Linked DNA regions of Drosophila melanogaster. The protein of the gene in region 1 interacts with the protein of each later gene in a pairwise test. Each region holds a gene or a part of one and is shown in the gene's direction. Other genes may lie near its edges.

Region 1 (6,585 bases):
AGGCGATCGAATAAAGTTATAAATGTAAAATGAAGTTGGAAACAATATCGACATCTTGTCATCGAAACACATGCCCATTGGAGGGGATTACAAATTCAGCCGGTTCTTTCTTTGCTGTTATTAATGCGTGCCACAATTATTTATGCCCAATTTCGAAGTCATTTCAAACCGTTTGTCTCCTGATAATTGCTAATAATTTAGCCTCACTTGACGACCATAAGCCCCCCAGGCCATGGCTTCTTATCGAGCAGTAGGCCTCGTCAATGTCTCGAATTGGTCGCATTTAGTTATCGCATAGCACCGAAAAACGATTTTATTTTTATCACCATTCACCATTCATTATTAACTATTCATTATTATGTTATAATTTGTTTCTGTAAAGTACAAAATACTTTTTGAATGGTCATTACTTACCATTGAGAGCTTCCTTCTGACCAACCATCAGACCCCCGAATACTCTATTCGAACCATTCATGTTGATAAATTTGAATACTCACCTTGTGATATGTCACAAAATGGCCGTCAGTTGGGTTTTTCGGGTGCAAAACGTTATATCGATGGGATTTTGTCGGGGATCACACAACTGACTATCAGTTAGCAGAGCAACAAGTGTCTGCTCATGATGAAGCGTCGAAGTGATATGTCCGGGGATTACAAGTGCACTCGGTAGCATGTTGTATGGGCTTCCTTTCCTTCATATCTTGGAAAGCAGGCTTTGCATAAATTAGTTTCCTAAATGTTTTAATCTCTTTTTCAGTCAAGGTGCTTTCCATTAAGGTATATCAATTATTATGCGAACAGAAACATAAAATATAATATATGTATGATGTTCAAAGAGTTATTTTTAAAATTTTGATGTCATAAAATTTTAATCACCAATCGATTGACTGTAGTTTACTGCCCCTTTTCAACGAAGAACCCCCGAAAATTCTATTTGCAATTCATTAAATCACTTTTCAGCGAATCATATCAAAAGAAATAGGTTTATTGCCAAATATCACATGAATTTGAGTCATTGTCATATGTAGTGAAGTCATACAGTTTCGATTGAACTCCTGCCAATTTAAAGTAGTCACCATTTAGCAAAATCACAAAACTTGAAGAACTTTTAACTCTTTACTTTCTACTCATCGTGTGAACCGAAGACATGATAACATCCTTTCCACCAGCGGAAACTAAAGATTTTCATTGTTCCCGAAACTCGTCGAGGCCCAAAACTTATCTCGAAGGTACCAATTTCTGGGGCGACCTGAAAAACAACATCAAAGGGGTATCTATCAGTAACAATAACAACAATTAAAGGCATTTATGGGCTGTGCGTTTTCCATTTTATCACCCGGCCCAAGCCGAAATCAAAAGTAATCCATCATCTGAGAGGCTTTACGAGGAGCCCGAGTACAACTGATAAGACACCCCGAAACACCTATCCATGCCCCAGGTATACAGACGCATATATTGTTCCCAAAGAGCAGAGAGGGACGGCACCATGGCCGAAATCATAACACAAACTCGATTACTCAATCAAAGCGATGGCTCTCTGATGGTGTTGGTAGGGGGTAGGGTGGGGGGTGCCTTTTGGGGCAATTTTAATTTGTTTACAACAACAATCAACAGAGTAAAATAGCCAAACAGTAGCTGAGAGCTGAAACCAGGTAACGATACCGATAAGGGGTGATTAACAATTACTCGATCAAACGCACCGACCCGCCGAGTGGGAGGCGTTCTGGGGGAGGGTGGTTGGGTGGTTGGGTGGTGGGTTCGATGGGTTGGCAGCTCAATAAGCGGGCGAGCAGGGACTGTGATTTATACAACGATCGCCGATTGGGTGTCCAACCGCGTACCGATGTCGAGCTGTCGCCGCCTGCAATTGGAAATTGGAATATGGGTATTGGGTATTGGGAATAGGAATCGAGTGGAGTGGAGTGGAGTGCCATCGAGGCAGTGGAGCGCCTAACCAACCACCACTCGCTTATCAATCGATGGCCGGTAGCTCGGCACTATCTCCCATGCGCGGCATATCTACATACCGCTCTATTATTGTTAATATTGATATCTACCCATTAGCACAACATTATAGGTACAATCTATTATATTCTGTGAAATCAGATTTGGTACAATTTATAGCGCCCATGGGCTCTGCGACGGCTCCTACAGCTGGTGGCCATTAGTTCATCGCCTGCGGCCGACGCAGTCGCTTCGATCGCTCCGGACCCAATCAATCGGTATCTACAGTTCGTTACTACCGCTCTCAGAATCCACCAATATGGATATCGCCACCAAGTCCAGCAAGGCCGCCTTCTCCATTGAGAATATCTTGGAGCAGAAGAGCTCCTCGCATCGATCTCAATCGCGCAGAGGCTCCTCTCAAAGTCCCGTGGCGGTAACAGCAGGCATAGCTACTCCACACGCACTGGCCATGCCCAAGGCATCCTTGGCCACTGGATCATCCTCCGCGGCGCCTACACCCTCTCCATCGTCCGCCACCAACATCTACGATCTATCCCGCGAGGCAGCTGCCGCCCAGTATGCCATGAAGAGTATGGACTCCAGTGCTGTCCTGGCTCCCACTTCGCTGCGCTTCAATCCCATCTACCCGGATCCCGCCTCGCTCTTCTACCAGCAGGTGCTGCAGCTCCAGAAGAATCCCTCGCTCTTCATGCCCCACTTCCAGGCGGCCGCTGTTGCCGCCGCAGCCGCTGTTCAGCCAACAGCCTATTGTGATCAATACAGTCCATTTACCATGGACTGCGAAGGTGAGTACTTCAGAATACCTACTTAGTGGGGTTAACATGTATTTTAGTTGGGTGTTGAATGTCCTAAAAGATAAAGATTCATTTTCAAGATAATTGCTTAATTTTTGTGGTAATTTATGATAAATCATTCACTAAAATAAGGGTGCATGAGGAGAAGACATTACAAATTTATTATAAAGTTATGGTATTTCCACAGAGCTATAGAAAAGGTATAGAAATGAAATATTAAATTATATGCAATCTAATCTCAGCAAATTCAAAAGATTGTAAAGCAGTTATAAGGCCAAGAAGTATAGTATATTTATTCGACATTATGAATGAAGACAATACAGCATTTCTTTATTAAAAAAAATTCTAGAATAAGATCAAAATTATTCAATTATTCGAGCTGTATACATACATGCAAACGCAGTTGAAACCCTTAGGTCAAGTTATTGACAAGCTCATAAAATAATTGACTAATATATTAATTAATGCGGTTTTGAGAAATCTATTAGCCCAATGATGTCTATCAACAATTTAGTCGTTTGACCTCATTAGCATATTTCATCATACTATCAAATGACCGGAAATGAGTCACCTGAATATGAATGAATAAGCGCTACAATTATCAATTAAACACTAAAATGCAGATAAAGGCAGAAGCATTCTCAGAGTATGATATGTTAAATCCCTATTCTTAAATTCTTATTCATGAAGCTTGGAACCATAGTTTCTATTAGACTTTCTCACAGTTTTTAGCAAAGACTAGGATTGATTCGACACTACCAAGTTCAAGTCATTGAACCTACCCATGCTGACACCTTAATCTCGCTCATCAAGTTGACACATGGAAATTGATCGCCATGGGAAAGGTGTTGCCTGAAATCCCCATTTAAATACCAAATATCTAAGCTAGCCTAAGTCCGAAGTGCCCGGACCACCGAATATTACAATGGGGATCCCACACAAAATGGGCCATAAACATGATTAATGTGTGTGTGTTGTGGTGCAGTTGGGTATTTGTCAAAGTCAAGTGTTGGCGCCAATGCCACTCGAAATCACATTTTCCCCGCCCCAAAAACTGCATTTCCCGGTTGGTTTTCTGGGCGGTGGTGTAACGGTAGATTAGCCCTAGCAATGCTGATAAAGTCAAAGTCCCGAATTCCATCCCCTCGCAGTACAAATGCCCCATTCAGATCGGAAAATATTTCGGTGGCTTATCAGAAGTGACAAATATTTGAAATTCAGGTGAGAGACAGCAGAAACTATATCTATGGATATTTAAGTGACAGTTAGTTTTCATTGAAAGGCATTGAGCTGTTGATTTGGGAAAATCGAGCTGCTGCGAATTAGACGGACTGTGAGAAATCATACTCATTTAAACCTTTGGATAACACACAATTATCACAGGCAGTATCTTTCGATATAATTGTAGTGAAATAGGAAGGAATCAATACAACATTATAGTGGAATGGAATATCTAAGTGCACCTTTCTGTTCCCAATATGCCCGTCTTGAGGATATATCTATGATGAGTCCAACTGAGTTAGGATCATACTACGCCTCAAAAAAAAAAAAGGAGTATTGATTAGCTTGCTCTATGCCATACTGATCACACAATGCAGATAGGAGTATCGTCGTGTATAGGGCACTTCAACTGTACTGCTATCCCGATTTCCGATTTGTTTGGCTTATCTAAACAAAAATGCTATTAGAGGCGATTAATAGGCGCTGTCCATCATCTTATAGCCACGATTGCCATTTGATTACGATAAGCCCGTCCGTTCCCGACACTCGTTCCACCTGGACAAGGGGCAAATGGTTAGGGGCGGAGGCGGGTGTGGTGGTGTTGGCGACAAGTACCTGATATGATATTATTCCTTCAATCGGACACGCACATTATAAAATAATAACAAATCCAATTTTCAGCGATTAAATGCCGCTGGGAAGAAGATAAGGGTGCTCTGCGGCCTTATCACTCCCGAATACGCCACTTAATAAAAATAAACATGAATAAGTCTATTTGTAACGATTTAAATTATGGCATCTGCAATCGGATGTTATTTATTTAATGGCATTTGGCCATTTCCAAGGGTTCTTGGCCAGATCGCCTCACCAATGAGGTAACTGGGTCCCCAAATATCAGCTTAGTTCAGCGATGGAGCACACTCCAAATATGCGCCAAGTGCGAATTTCCGTTACCTTAACTAAAAAAAAAAAAAGAGGCCACCTTCCTTATCACATAGGTGTATGTACATAGGTGCAGATAGGTTCGCAATCGGATTGCCGTTCGGGTGCCAATTGATTTCGCCCAATTGCTACGAAATCTCGGCGTACAGTCGATCCATTTCGCAATGGCCACCATTCGCAAGTCGTCATCCAGTTACAAGTGGGCGTTGACATATTCTCCGATACTGATACAACACCCATACACTTGTACCACTCGCAATTGTTGTGTCCGATTACTTTGATAAGAGCGGGTGGGCGGAGATAGGGAAAACCGGGCCAATGGAGCCACCAATCACAATCCAATGATTGCGCCACTTTATATCGGGCAGATGGTTCAAAATCGTTATTCAAAGAAATCGATTGTCCTCGACTTTTTCATGGCAGCTTTTGATAAACTCTGAAGTGGGTCTATAATGTCATTAGTTCTTTAATTAAGATCGTATTAACAATGAAATATTTAGTTTAAATATTTCTCATCTGATATAGGAAACCCTTGTTCACAAAGTGAAGTGTTAACAATAAGTTAGTTCTGTAACCTCTTCAGCAATTGTAATCTAAAACAAACTGTCTTCCTTTTTAATCCATAGGATTCCCCAATCCTGCCTCCGCTGCAGCCGCCCTCTACTGCAATGCCTATCCGGCGGCCAGCTTCTACATGTCGAACTTCGGCGTGAAGCGAAAAGGCGGCCAGATCAGATTCACCTCCCAGCAGACCAAAAATCTCGAGGCTCGCTTCGCCAGCTCCAAGTACCTGTCGCCGGAGGAACGGCGTCATCTGGCCCTCCAACTCAAGCTGACCGACCGCCAGGTGAAGACCTGGTTTCAGAACCGGCGCGCCAAGTGGCGACGAGCCAATCTCAGCAAGCGCAGTGCATCCGCCCAAGGACCCATAGCAGGCGCTGCCGTGGGATCACCCTCCAGCGCCTCGAGCAGCAGTGTTCCCGTGTTGAATCTTGGCAGCGGAAGCAGGTGTGGCCAACAAAGCGACGAGGAGGATCGGATGTATCTGTCCGAGGACGATGAGGACGACGACGAAGACGAAGGCGAGGCGGATGAGACGCCCAAGTGAAGCTAGAGGATGGCCCATTGACTCATAAGTTAGTTTAGCTTGTAGTTAGGATAAATAAATTTATTTTATTAGAACTATAGTTATGCGAGTTAGTAAGTACTAGATGGGTGGTCTCCTAGTGGAACTGGTAGCTGTCCAAGCAGGCGCAATTGGGCAAGGTGCATCTTGGCGCCAGATTGGAGAGGTGACCCATGGTCACCGGAAAGGATAGCGGCACAAACCACTTGGGGTACGCACAAATGGCCGCTGCCGCCGCCGCTGATGCACTGCCTCCAAAGACCGGCGGCTTTAGCTCCACCACCGATTTGCTCTGGTACTGAAAGGTAAGATTTTGTATGTACTTAAATAAATATTTCATTAGGTACTTCCTACTTCCATGGACCACGCAAATCGTGACTTGATTGAATTCTGGAAGCGGAAATACAGACCGTTGAACTTAAGTAAAAACACAAAACACCTGTTACAGATTTGCTGTATACTATAGAATATAATACTATAGAAATAACCGGTATATTCACTTAAGTACACTTATAACTAAAAGGTACTTTATAC
Region 2 (4,534 bases), about 15 Mb from region 1:
TTATGTATAGTAAAGGATCATTGGATCATTGATTGCAGATTCTAGCGTCGCGGACGCAGAATAAGTTTGTGTCATCTTTACTGTATAATGCCAATTTAATATGCTATTAAAAGCTTATCAGAACTTACTGTAATTCCATCAATTTACTTATTTTTGACAGCTTGATAAAACAAATCAAGTAAATTTCGCTAAAATACAGCAACTATGTGATGATTTCGCCAAGTGCAGTAGTCCATCATCTGTGGGTATCTGGCGTCTTGTGCGCATCCGTTTTTGTTTGCTTTTCGTGTAATTTCTCTTTCATTTCACTTGAGCAATTGAAGCGAGCTGTTATTTGCACTTTTGCTAAGCTCAAATTGTTGACTAATGTGTCACAATTGCCGAGTCAGGCCGTTCCTTATGATTATGCCCGCAGAGGTGTTTTCACCTGAGTACTCGAACTGCCCGAAGGAAAAGTCCCGAGTAGGACGTGCCTATCTGGCCCTAGATCCCGGCTCCCAGATATCCTGTTTCCAGACCCTGTCCTGGTTAAATAACTGTCATTATATATCACACTTTATGTTGCGCAATAAAAACAGAACCACAATAAAGTCACGAAAATAAAAAGTAATTTCAAGACGCGCACATGCGGTAAACATAACTATTTTCGGTGATACCGGGTCGACGGGGGGTATTAAACGGAGATGACATACAGACCAAGGGCCAGAAATAACAGTAGTATGAAAATATTATACAGACAACTTTCATTTCTTGCGGCAAAGTGCCCAAAAAACAAAAGCGTTCAAAAAATTAACAAAATCCAGAAGAATATATGACACATATTATGGCGGAGGGGGGGGGGGCTGGCCCGGCATCCACGGGTTAAGAGTCGGGGTGTGTGGAGGGTTAACCTGCGCAGCACCTGTTTATCACTTCATGTGTTGTAATCTGTGAGGCTCCAGAAGAAACTACACCTCTTTGTCTGCGTGCGTTTGTTCGAGGAGATGGGCAGAAGACTCTGCGGGAAGATGCGTCTTCAGGGGTCTCTTCGCTGTGTGTGTGTGTGATGCGCGCATGTGTATGAGTGTGTGGGGGAGAGAAGACGAACAACCTTGGCTTTGGCTCTCCGATGGAAACTTTCTCGTGCTCTCACATTCAACAGCCCTGCTGCCTGCGCTGACGTCGACCGAAGACGAAGAAGACTCGTCTTCGCATGCTCATGCGCAGCGACTTTCTTTAATGCGGAAGCAGACAAAGCTCTGCCTGCGCTTGCCTAATGCGGCTTCTAAGCTCGGAGGCTGCTGAGAAAGAGAGGCAGCGCTGCGGTCAGAAAGAGAGGGCAGCTGCCGTCTTCGCAGAGTCAAAATGCCAGAAAGAGCACGCAGACACGTGTGGAAGAGGGCTCAGGCTCTTCGGCGACGGAGACCCTAGCTGTATGTGTGGGCACCGGCGCTTTTTACATAATTTTACGTTATGCCGCTGCCGAGGCGACCGCTACGTTGGAAACTCTTTAAAAACAGCCTGACAGCGGCGAAAAGTTATCAAACCGCAGCTTGTTCCATTCGAATGAACACACCAGTGATTTCGGTGGTGCCAAAGGAATTCAGTCTCAGAAATCACCAATCCACCAACCCAGCCACCAGCATGAAGTTCTTCGTTGCCACCGCCTGCATCCTGCTCCTGGCAGCAGGTATCTCTGCCGATCCCGTCAAGGCCGCTGAGGAGCAGCCCGGCGCCTTTGCCCAGTGCCTCGAGTCCGACTCCATCTCGTGCCTGCAGCTCACGGTACGGATTATCTAGGCCCTAAGGATTATATACCCCTATTACAAAACGAAAGATCAAAGCACAATCGAGAACAATTGCAAAGATGCTTAACAGTGAAAGTGAAACCAAAAAATCAATAGATCACCGATTACGTGTTGTCCCATGTGATCTAAAGGATACTATTGAAGTGAAAGTGAAAAACAGTTTCTTTACAGCTTCCTGTCAAGCTGCAACTATTTCGCAATAATCAATTTTGAAAAGAGTGTGTAGTTTGCCAAACACAATTGACACCTGACAGGAAGATGTGAAAACAACATTACCACTTAAAAGTGTTTTTTAGACTTGCCAGCTGCTCTAAGCACATCTCTTTTATATTTCCGAGCTAAAAATATATCATCGAAATTCTATTCTAAAATTCTAAAATCTAAAAACAGTTGATAACAACAAATTTTCCCTTACTTGCAAACTAAGAAATTATTTTAAATTTCACTCACAACTAAATTCTTCCTTAGCCACTTATTTACATACACATGAAGTCATATAATTATAACAATCAATCAAACATATCCTCAATGACCAATATTTTAGACTTTAGATCACAGTTTATTACAGTTCGCTCTAATTCGAAACCCCACTACCTCCTCCACAGCTCTTCCGCAAGGCCAAGTCCGTGTTCGATAACCCTCAGATCGAGCTTTTCGGTGGTGTTTCTCTGGTGAAGTCCAATGAAGGTCGTCAGGGCAAGTCCCTGGACAACTCCCTGGCTGTTGAGGCCGCTCCCACCGTGGAGGCCCGCACCGCCGAGATGGGCAACTACTTCATGGACAACGCCAAGAGCTTCTTCGCTGAACGCTCCCTGAACTTCAACTTCGCTAACGCCGCTCGCAGCGTGGCCCGCGCCATTCCCGATGACATCAAGGCTGATCTCCGCGAGCTGGTTGTTGAGTCCCGTACCCGCAAGAAGAAGCTGCTGAAGAAGTTCCTGCCCATCCTGCTGGGAGTTGGTGCTAAGATCGCCGTCCTTGGAGTCGGCTCCATCTTCGGACTACTGTTCCTGGCCAAGAAGGCACTGGTTGTGTCTGTTATCGCCTTCTTCCTGGCTCTGGCTGCTGGTGCTTCCAGCGGACTGGGACGCATCGGTGGATCCGGAGGCGGCGGCGGTCTGCTCGGCGGTCTGGGAGGTCTCTTCGGCGGCAAGAACGCCGGTGGATCGTCGGCTGCCAGCACCGGTGGATGGTCCTCGGGTGGTGGTGCCTCCAGCGCCGGATGGTCCTCTGGCGGCAGCTCGGGTTGGGACACCCATGGTGCCTACAGCTCGCCTGTGGCCCAGACCATCGCCTACCAGGGATACAAGCAGGCCCGCCGGTAAACAATTGGTCAAGAGCCAAATTAACCGAAGGACGAAGGCCAAGGAGAGAGAGAGAAACAATCGCTAAAAATGATGACCTATATTTATATTTATTTATAAATTATTTATTTTAATTTATTACTTGAACGAGAAGTACGAGACGAACAAAGTGCCTTCCATTAGACAAAAAAACAATCACTTAATAACAAGACACACCCAAACACCAAACACCACCTTTCATCCAGAACCGCCAATAACCTCCACAAAGGAATCTTTACTACTTTCCGCACTCCTCACTCTTCACGCTGTATCTCAATTTCATGGCTGCACCTTTGATAAATGGACTGCAAATCTTTGCGACTAGTCGATCCATCAGTCAAAGCCAGTCGCCTCGCCCATCTAACTGTATCTATCTCTCATCTGTTTCCATCTATCTCTGTTCTACGACTATCTCTATCTGTACCTCTACCTTAATCTATCTACCTATCTGTCTATCCATATCTGTCTGACTATCTGGACTTTCTCACTTTACCGCCCGGGAAAGACCAACCGAATGCTGCTAAATCAAAGAATCAAATAATAATTCAAACATAAAAAATACTTTACCAACACGACTCTCTTTTCTCATCACCACACAATTTTCATTTCGGTTTGCATACGCAACTCGCCATCACAGCCCTCGACAGCATCACTCATACGCCGCGTTGTCTAGCAAAGCATTTGCACGTGGATGGCGCAACTTTCATTTCACTTTTACCCGCCTCATTCTTCCTGCTATCAGCCTCCAAAAATCGAACTCTTTATGGGGTTTCTAAATTTCACCCACTTATTTCACTTCCACTCTTCTGCTTCTGGTAAACTCCATTTTCACTGTGAACAAAGGCACATATGAACAAAGGCAATTTGCTGAAAAATAAAACAAACATTTAGCTACGCGCATTTCGGTTCATTCAAGGCGGGGCACCATCGTATTGTATTTTAATATTTCTCCACCTGACGGAGCCCCATTGTTAGGCGACGCTTAGCACCTTTTGGCCCAAAGAAAGTTGTAAACGCCGTCGAAATGGGCCCGGCTCAATTGAGCCTAAGTAACTGAACTGAAATGAACTGAACTGAACTGCAGTTGCCGGTTGGCAGAACGGCACTTTACAGCCGCTGATGGCTGATGGGCCGATAGGTGCTTTACTTATGAATATGACCCACTTTGGGGGCTGGCTCATGGATGCTGTGCACATTGACTGCCTATTGGCTTTCTTCGTGCACAAATACGTCAGCAATTAATGTGTCGCCGAATGGCTTAAAAGCACTTTTCTATGATCATTGGGGCCGGTTGGTTGGCGTTTCGTTGTTTGATTTGCTTGCTCAGCACACAACTGCTTGGTTCTGCTTCTACCGCAGTTTACAACTTCATTTCGGGCCCAATCGTGGACTCTTCTCACTCTT
Region 3 (4,937 bases), on another chromosome or scaffold:
TGAAATGCAGGCGCACACAGTTGTACAAATTGGAAAATTTGCATCGGTGTAGGCAAGTCGAGTTATTTATTTTTTGAGATTTGAATAGGCAAGTATATAGGCAAGGTTGGTCCGTGCCAATTGACCAAGTTTGGCAGCTCTTTTTTGGGGACCGTCGAAAGTAAATCCACATTTGGACCTGCTCGTTGCTTGTGTTGGAGCCGCTCAAGTGGCTAAAACCCGGGGCCAGTCACTCAAAGTCCCTTATCAGAGCGATTAGATTTGCAAACTGCACACGCGGCCAAGAGAACCGATTATCGTAGTTGCGAACCTGGAGTTCTGAAAATCGTTCGTCCGTTGAGTCATAACTGGCAAGTGGAGATGTATTCCGCCAATTCTTATAACTTGCACGTTACCCAACGGCCACTGATTAAAACTGAAGGGTGAGGAGTATCGAAGTAAATAGGTGCAATAAACTAAATAAGAACACTATTGCAATCTATGGTGAGGTGTATTTTGTGTGGCTTATATAGCATGTCTAGAAATCGAAACAATGAGTAAAACTCGAGCCTCACAAAAATATGGGCCATAAATCTCGGTTCAGTAGTCTGTATAATCGCCACCCCTCTGTAAAAACTATAATTATGCATCTGTGGTTATTTTTAGTAATTAACAATACCATTTTTTTTATCCGTCATGTTGGGAACCCGGAGATCGCTTCACATCCGTTACGCGTCACTTGAAATCGAAGAAAAATATTAAATTTACTTTAAAAATCATTACGTTGTAGGAATGTGCATATGTATAAGATGCATAAACTCAACTTTCTTTTAATTTAACGAAAAATATATGCACATATATGTATATTACGTGTAAATTTTGTTTATTTTTTTCCAATAAGAGACAAAAGAGACAATAAAAGCAAAAAAGTACTGATCCTCGTCTGGAGTTCAATAAGCCCACAAATTGGCTATATTTAAGGGAAATTTCCAATTGCCACTGCGAAATAATTAATTAAACCAACAATATCGCAAATATATCTCATTCAGATTATTAATAGTTTTAATTGATTTTCTGTGTTGCAAATTGATTTTCAAACTGTATAAAAAAAGGAAGCTCTTTCTCTGGTAACTTTATCCTATTTTGCTGCATTGGCCTTTAAAAGGATTTTATTGTTTCGTAAGATCTTTTCATAATATAGACATCAGTGTTTTGATATTGCTTTTATTGTCTCTGGCGAAGCTTTCGGATCGTTATTGCTTTTATTGTTCCATTGCATTCGCGCACTCGTAACTCACATTAAAACATTTAACAACTGCAAAAAAAAAAAAATTGGAACGCACGTCGTTTCGGATGGGATCGGTTTTGAATCGGTTATGAATCGAGCAGGATTGAGCGACCACGTCCGCAAGCGGCGATCAACAGCCTCAGACTGAAGTCGACTGTGAACGAACTTAGCTAAGAAGCCGTTGACGGTTTCGCCGCTCGCCGCTTTGTCGCTTTGCCGCACTGCTCTGCCCGCTGCGACTGCGCGCTTGCTCGACGTCGAAGGATGGCGAAAGGCGTTAGAACGAGCGAGTAGTGGTGATAAGCCTAATCGCAATGTTATCGTATCGACAGGCAAGTGGAAGTATTTACGGCCCGGTGTTCGCTTACCCACAATGAATGGAGCCGCAGCTCGCAGCTCTCGCGATTGTTATTTATGGCCCACAACTACCCACCGGAATATCTGCTTGACATTTCACCCTTCCCCGCCCTTGGCCGCCTGTCAATTTACAGATCGCTGTCCATCACAATTGCTCCGCTTATCACACCTGCCACGCCCCGTCTGTCATCAGTCAGTGGGTGGGTGGTTGCTGTGTTGTGTATAGTGGGCGATGCAGATTGCGCACCATCATTAACTAAATATTTTCATCGCACCAAACGGTTATCTCTGGCCATTACTTGCACGTCTGAGGGATGGGAGCTTCCCAACTTTACCCACCGTAAGTCATGAATCGAAAAGTAGTTTAGTATATGGTCTAAAGATAATTATTTAAAGAGCTACTACGTCTATACGCTGATAAAAAAAAATCAACGCCAAAATAGAAGAGATAATGATGGCCAAGGAAATTTGTAGGGTAAGGAGATCGAGTCAGAATCTTCAATGGCTTGAACTGTGTGTTAATCGGGCAATTAATCATTATTAAATAGCCAAATGTCTTGCTGATATTGGTCGAAAAGTAACTAATCAGCCATTTAATTTTTAAGAAAGTACCCAAACAATTTTTAGAGCAACGCGTCCAGTGTTTAATACTAATGACTTGCATATTAACAAGCTACATGACTTTCTTTTTCAACGCTTTTCCGTGGGCAAACAAAGTTCATACGTATGTACATAACTTAAGACCGAAATGATTGGCAGTATTTTGGCAGCAATACAATAAATTAATTTAAGCTCCTTAAAATGATAGTAATAGGAAAATAAACTATTACAAATCTATTAAGTAGTTTTATGGCCGATAAAGTTATCACATCGGTAATAAGTTTTTGCGAAATAAACAGGCATTTCAAAAGACGTACGTACTTCATATCAGATTAGTCATAAGTATAAGTCATTCAAACGGTGGATAGGTTAATAAATACAACAATTATTTTTAATATTAAAAAGAAAACACCCTAAACTGGGCACGAACTACCAAATTATAGCGAAAAGATCACTTTTAAATGTCGAATTTTTGTCAAAAGTTATAATTCAGATTTCCGCCACCTTAAGAACAGTACTTTAAAAACAACATGGGAAATAGTTGGCCTTATTTGAAATACAATATCTCGTTGAACTCGTAATGAAATTTCTAATCCATAGGCATTCAAGGCCGGAAACTTTCGAAATTTGTAGATTTTCGCTGATCTTCATTATGTAACCCCTTATGAAGAAATGAGAAAATTTGAGGATACTTTACTGCGACGCCTTAAATAGGAAATCCATAATGTAACCTATACCATCTAACCCCGTTTGGCTCACCGCTTTTGATAGGCATCTAATCGGAGGTGGTCACAAAACTTTGTGGCATTTTTGTTTTATGAACTTAATCGCTGCGTCGATAGCTGCGAATAGTATTTATGGCCGCCTATCATTAATGCCATGCCCAGAAACAAGTATAATACATCTATTGGCCATAGCCAATCGGCCGATCTGCGATAGTCCGTAGCACGACATTGTTATTGTTATTGTTATTGTTAACCATTATTGCTCAACGAGAGGCCCTGACTGTGCGACAAGTGAACTTTTTGTTTTGCTTCTTGCTTTCGATTTTACGATTGTCACTTACTTGGCTACAGATTGCATGGTGTCTAGTCTTCATAATGCCAGCTATGCGATCGATTGAGTAACACTTAATTAAAGCCATCAAGGCATTGGGGGTCTGTGTGTCGATTGAGCGGGTTGCGTGTTGACACACTCAGACATCGAGTACTCGTATCCCCGGCCAGCTATTATGCATCCCGTATCCATGGATTGTGATGGCGTTGTATCTGGGCGAGAAACTCTTCGCTCAGCCTGGGGATTACAGTTAAGACCTTATCAATTAGCAAACTGGTGGTCAAGCGGCGATAGGGTATCTTCGATTAAATCGCACCTACCAACCTACCTAATAGGTGGGCCAATCGCACAACTCGGCACGCGGCTTACCGAATCGCACTTTGTGCCGATTAAGTAATCGGCCTGAAAAGGCGAAGCGAAAGCGAGATATAGACGATGTCCTTGCCTAAGATAGCCAGATAGTCAGATAGCCAATCGTACTCGTTTCTTAGGGCAGTGCTTCAAGGGGCTCCGATCTTCAGATATGGGTACTTATAGATCTCAAGATCTCGAAGGTCCGGAGTCCGATATCAATGATGATAGGCGATGAAGTGTTTGCCCAACTGATTAGATTTGTACATGAAAGATATAAAGACGTCATGTCAATTTCAAAATTACAATTATATTAAATATTATATTATAATACTATAAAGATCCCCCATAATTATTTATAATCTAAATAAATAATTTGTTATACTTAGGGTAATTGTCCGTTGCCTTAGCTGTCAGATATCCAGGCTACAGCTCAAGCATGCTTCATAGACAGCGGAATCCCGAATTCTCTAGCACAGCCACATCCATATCCAGCTCGAGCTTCGAATCCAGTCACCTGATGAGCAGCTCTGAATTCAGTCGCGGTAAGTGCATCACCAGTTTTCCAAAGACCACCCACATATATATGGACTTTCTGCAGCTTGGCACTTTGCCCGCTTTCGTGATAGGGATGATCGATTCCAGCACATCCACTTCGCCGAAGATGACCGCAACGGTTTCGAAACGGTGAGTCTGAGTGCTGGACTAAAATATAGTGCGAAATTGACAACCTTTCAGGCACATGTATCTATATATTTCCGGAACTGTGCAATCTTGTGGTATAGCGCGGCGTTTTCGTGAAAAACCTAAGCAATCTCGACGCGAAACAATAGCTAATGCGGACCATAAATATTTACAGCTGGATAGATTTATGGCTGCCTGGGAAAGTCCAACAAATTACTCAAAGCCGTAAAGAAAACAAACATAGATAACAGGCACTTGGCACTCGACCATTTTGCACGGCCGGGGGTTTAATCGCCAGATAGGGGATAGGAATATGATCGAGATAAGATCGATTCCGTACCTGCCAGCTCATTGGCACAGCTTAAAGAAAAGCGAGGGGATAACCACAAGATTCAGCGCAGATAACACAAGATAACGTTAAATCGCAAATAGGATATGGGTTTCTAGAACTATATTCTCTCTTTAAGAACGCCAAACGACAAACAGTTGCCACAACAATGGCTACAAGCTGGAATACTGTGGGTGCACGATAGGGATGCACATTCCACAAGCCTTCTGAAACAACAGGAAACACTGCTCGCACAAATTAGAAGGAATACAGCTGCTCCACGCCCGATTAGTG
Region 4 (4,554 bases), on another chromosome or scaffold:
CTATGTGGCGGCTGGAATTTTCCGACCTGGAACCAGCTTTATGGGCCCCACCCAGAAAATTACGCAGTGAGAATCTGTTTGGGATTCAAACACACCTGTTGTGCATCTAACGACTTTTCTTTTCATCGTAGACAATGGATGACCGATGCCTTCAACTACTGGGATGAGCTGCGTCGCTCCAAGGAGGCTCCTCTGGCGGGCGTGTGCCAATTATCCGGCTATATTTACTCCCGCACCTCCCCCTCCATCGTACGGGTACGTTGCCGGGCAGTCGACAATCAGTGATTCTTATCTTCATCGGCTTAATTCGATTAACTTTGTTGTTGGCTGCCTTAGAACCACTTTATTGAGAAACTATTGCCCGTCTACCGAAGAGCCACCGAGGAGGAACTGAGGCTATGCAACGGCGGCTGGAAGTACGGATCCTTCTTCACCACATGCCTAACGGAAAGCCGCCTCTTCTTGCCCTATGCCACTAAAAAGTGAGTAGCTGTTTTATGATATGAAAGAGAAACAATTTGAAAATAATCGTAAATATTAACATATTGTAGATTCCTGGAGAACGGAGGAGAGGTTGTCCGTCAGCATGTGAACAGCTTTTTCGAAGTGCCGCAGAACATTGACTTGCTCCTTAACTGCACCGGAATGGGAGCCAAGGAGTTGTGTGGGGACCAGCACTTGGTTCCCATTCGGGGTCAAGTGCTCAAAGTGCGTGCTCCCTGGGTAAAGACGGCTTTCTACGGCGATTACGACACCTACGTTCTTCCCGGATTTGAGACTGTGACCCTGGGAGGATGTCGCCAATTCGACAGCTACAACACCGAGTGGTGCAAATACGATAGCATGGCCATTCGAGAGCGTTGCTACGATTTGCTGCCCAGTCTCCGGAAAGCGGAGATCGTGCGGGAATGTGTTGGTCTGCGGCCACACCGCTCCGTCGTTCGGGTGGAGCCAGAACTGATCACGAATCCGGAAGGCAGGCGGCTGAAGGTAGTCCACAACTACGGCCACGGCGGCTACGGTGTGACCACGGCTCCTGGAACGGCTATGTACGCAGTTCGATTGGTACGCGATCTACTAGCGGGAAACAGTAAACTGTAGGTGGTAAAATCGTTGTTAATTGTTGGTCATTAAACTCTTTATACTCAGAATCTTTGAACCCAGATTTGATTTGGATTTTTTATTGTGCAATAAACTAATTGCAGTTCTCAAGGTTGCGATATGCGCCAGTTCCAAAGGTTTCAAGAAGGAATATTTAGAATATTTAAAGAAACAATTCTTATAAATTTTATTTACTGTTTTTATGAGTTCCTTGGTCTATATTGTTTCAGGATAAGAACATGGGTTCACAAAGTGAACGAATAAATTCGCGCCCACGAATAAATTCAAATGAACCCCTGGGCCAGTGCTCCACAAGGCTGCGGAAGTGCGAAGTGCGCATGACCGGCGCATGAATGGAAAGCTCGCCCGAAATCGCCGCGAAAGCTACGCCCACACACAGACACCCCAGGCACGGAAACCCATCGATTTTCAGCAGCAGGAAAAGCAGCAGGGAAATTGTGTGGGCAGCAGCCAGTCATCCAGTCAGTCAGTTAGCCAGCCAGTCAGCCAGGTTGAAACAGTTGAATTATGAAAACGTATACAAAACTGGCCCGTTTTCGCCGCACCAGTCAATTCGCCGCCTGAGAGCGAAGAAAAAATTGAAAATTGTGTGTCCTTTGGTGTCGACGTGTCGAGGCAAAAAGGTAGAACAGTTGGTGCGTTGCATTTGCTGAATAATTGAGCCACTGCAGCCGGAGTCAGTTCAATTCTGGCCAGACGAGTGGGTCCGCGGGCGTGTGAATAGTTGATTGGGTAACCGTAAACAACTCGACGAATCAATCGACGTGAAATCGCGGCGTATGTCAGTCCAGTGCCAAGGCTGAGTCGAGTCCTTTTCCTTATCCCTTCAGCGAAAGGAGCTGCCATTATCGATTTGTGTGTATGTGCGAGCAACAACACGGCGTACCTCTCACCCACACATCGAAAACAGCAGGATATTCTTGTGACAGCAGGATCTGCAGCAGCACCATCATAAACAGCAACTGAGATATTAGCAGCAGATACTACTGTAACCGCAATAACCTCAAGAAAGAGTAAGTTTATCTGACACATTAAGTATCCGCCATGATGGACCAAAATGGGTGAATGGGGGTACTAGTTCCAGCTAAAACCAAAATACCTGAGTTTTCGCATCAAAAACTTTGCAGTATCAGTTCCATATTGTCAAATAATGAGGCCGTTGGTTGGAATTTATTATTTTTACATTAAACTTCATTGATTTTGACATTATAAAGATTACACATCAACTTTTTAAAAGTATTTAAAAGGTATTTAATAACTCAATGTTACTTTTATAGTAGTTCCAAAAAAACTTCTGATGGATTTCAGCTTAGTGTATCATATCTTATTGACAATAGATATGGGCTATACATACATATGAATGTGGCCAAATAATACATATGTAGTTTTACAACTTCCAGGAAAGAGTTAATTGTTTATTCCCATTGATTGATAACTCGGTATTTATGCACATGCCTAATATTTACGTTTGACAACAAACCTTAAATTGAAACTTTTCCAATTGGAACCGTTAAGGCAGGATTGAGTTCTCGTTTTGGCCAATATTGGGTTTCTTATCAATAATTAAACAAGCCCGCAGCTGCCGACCGCTGAACAGCTGCCAAATCATTGGAAATTTGAAACATGAAAGAGCAGTTAAGGGGGTGGGTAATGGGGGCAGGGTCTGGCAGCCACCCCCACGCAGGGGGAAAACAACAGAAAAATCGATAATTACACGCAGTCGAGCAGATAAAAACATTTCCACACAGCGCCTGTGATAAGGGCCGTCTGCCGTTGAAGACCTCTTATTGCGGCCCCTCTTTGGTGTCTGCGTTTGGGTTTGGGTTTGGGTTTGGGTTCGGGCCCCTCCAGGATATTTCTGGGCCTGAAGAGGCTTGACAGGAGCGAAGCCTGTCCTTTTGCCAGCAAAATCCTTGACGATGACGCGCGCACTCGGTCCTTCTACACCAAGTCGTTCATCAGCAATCTGACAGCGTTTTGCCGCTGCGCAACTTCTGATTCTGGACGGGGGAAATAAGGATGAGCGGAAACGGAACCAGGAGAACCAGGCTATATACACAAATTATCGACACAATGTCGCCGCCTTCATTGCATATGGAAAACAGGCAGCCAACCATCCCGAATGGCAAACTGTAAGCCGAGACTGTTGTCACTTGCCCAAGCCAAGGCTGAAAGTTTTCAAGGCCGCACCAGCCCACCAGCCCACCAACCCGCCGTTCAGCTCTGAAATTCGCTTTGAGTTTTCCCAGTGACGTGACAGGGATAATCAAGTGGGTCCTTTCCCAAGTCAGGCCGCTAAAGCCAACCCCTCCCGCCTACTCCAAGGATTAAAAGTCAAGGGAATTGGGGGGTTATGCTTTAGAAAATATAAACGCAACTTGTTTAATCCACACGCACGCGATTCAATCACTTCCGGGCACAGAGAGAACTCCGGTTGGCCACCAGTTGGCCTTGACCGGTGTTTCATGTGCACCATCTAGCCCCACCGGTTCTTCGTGCAGCATGGACCACAAATGGAGTGTCTATGGATGACATAAAGGTTGATAATAGCACATTAGCTACTCGACCAGCTCCATGCGAATTCCGATGTTGACGCCATCGCCCACGCCGCAAAAGGCATCGGCCTTGCAGCCATTCTGTACACCCATGTTTCTTCCCGTTCCTCTGTTATGGATCATTAGCTCCTCCGGTGTATCCTGATGGATGCCGCACTTGGACTTGGATTCATTGACACCGCTGAATATCACAATGCCAGGATTGCAAAAGTTACCCTGATTGGGAGCCATCATAGGCATCTGAGATGGCTGTTCCAGTTGCCTAGGCGAATCCTTCCGCATCAGCGTAGTCATGCATATGCTAGTGTTGCTGCTACTAGTTATTATGGTCGTGGTATCTATGGTCTCAATTAGCTGACCTTCATCCTCGGAAGCAGCGATGGCCGCCTCGCTTGCTTGCTCCTGCTGAGCTTTCAAGTCGCTTTCCCTTTGCCGCTCCAGTTCGCGCTCTAGTTCCAATTGCTGCTCCTGCTCGATACGTTCCTCTTCGTGCTCCTCCTGAGCTTGAGCCTGGCATAGCTCCACATGCATTCTGGACAACTGGGCGGCATCGTATGGGCAGAAGCAGTTTAGGCTTACAACTCGATTGCCCATGTGCTGGACTGGTCGGCTGTTACGGGCTATGGGCGAGATCCCATCCGGACCTAGGAGCAAACGAAAGTGACGCAGCTGAAAGTCGCTAATGGCTAGGGATTCGGGAAAGATGAACCATTCGGTGCCCTGGTAACAGGGCGGATGGGTCAGCGAACCGCCGTAGGAATAGAATCCAGATCGAAATTGATACATCAAGTAGGATATGGGAAATGGAGAAATCTGGACACGCTTTCCAGGCTTCTGAACCAATCGCAAATTCTGCACCAGGGGATCCAGGAACGGA

The links.
Region 2: the proteins of HHEX (region 1) and Osi6 interact in a two-hybrid assay, tested with the Drosophila melanogaster proteins (one large-scale study listed by BioGRID).
Region 3: the proteins of HHEX (region 1) and yin interact in a two-hybrid assay, tested with the Drosophila melanogaster proteins (one large-scale study listed by BioGRID).
Region 4: the proteins of HHEX (region 1) and Rab3 interact in a two-hybrid assay, tested with the Drosophila melanogaster proteins (one large-scale study listed by BioGRID).

The regions. Positions count from the first base shown.
Region 1 is NT_033777.3:21,076,362-21,082,946, reverse strand, and holds HHEX (hematopoietically expressed homeobox), read left to right. Parts: upstream 1-2,020; 5' UTR 2,021-2,263; coding exon 2,264-2,753; intron 2,754-5,551; coding exon 5,552-6,033; 3' UTR 6,034-6,085; downstream 6,086-6,585. Other genes in the region: dmrt93B (doublesex-Mab related 93B), read right to left, coding at 6,149-6,349.
Region 2 is NT_033777.3:6,233,191-6,237,724, forward strand, and holds Osi6 (osiris 6), read left to right. Parts: upstream 1-1,517; 5' UTR 1,518-1,545; coding exon 1,546-1,764; intron 1,765-2,392; coding exon 2,393-3,112; 3' UTR 3,113-3,991; downstream 3,992-4,534.
Region 3 is NC_004354.4:3,868,898-3,873,834, reverse strand, and holds the start of yin (yin), read left to right. Parts: upstream 1-1,895; 5' UTR 1,896-1,964; intron 1,965-3,290; exon of another isoform or gene 3,291-3,517; intron 3,518-3,608; exon of another isoform or gene 3,609-3,882; intron 3,883-4,016; exon of another isoform or gene 4,017-4,020; 5' UTR 4,021-4,070; coding exon 4,071-4,176; exon of another isoform or gene 4,177-4,232; coding exon 4,233-4,318; exon of another isoform or gene 4,319-4,336; intron 4,337-4,655; exon of another isoform or gene 4,656-4,862; intron 4,863-4,937. UniProt on the Drosophila melanogaster protein: Important role in absorption of dietary peptides. High-affinity transporter of alanylalanine. Dipeptide transport activity is proton dependent.
Region 4 is NT_033778.4:10,726,186-10,730,739, reverse strand, and holds the start of Rab3 (Rab3), read left to right. Parts: upstream 1-1,536; 5' UTR 1,537-2,135; intron 2,136-3,467; exon of another isoform or gene 3,468-3,680; coding exon of another isoform or gene 3,681-4,554. Other genes in the region: Daao1 (D-amino acid oxidase 1), read left to right, coding at 1-66, 132-255, 337-482, 552-1,101; CAH13 (carbonic anhydrase 13), read right to left, coding at 3,681-4,554. UniProt on the Drosophila melanogaster protein: Involved in exocytosis by regulating a late step in synaptic vesicle fusion. Could play a role in neurotransmitter release by regulating membrane flow in the nerve terminal.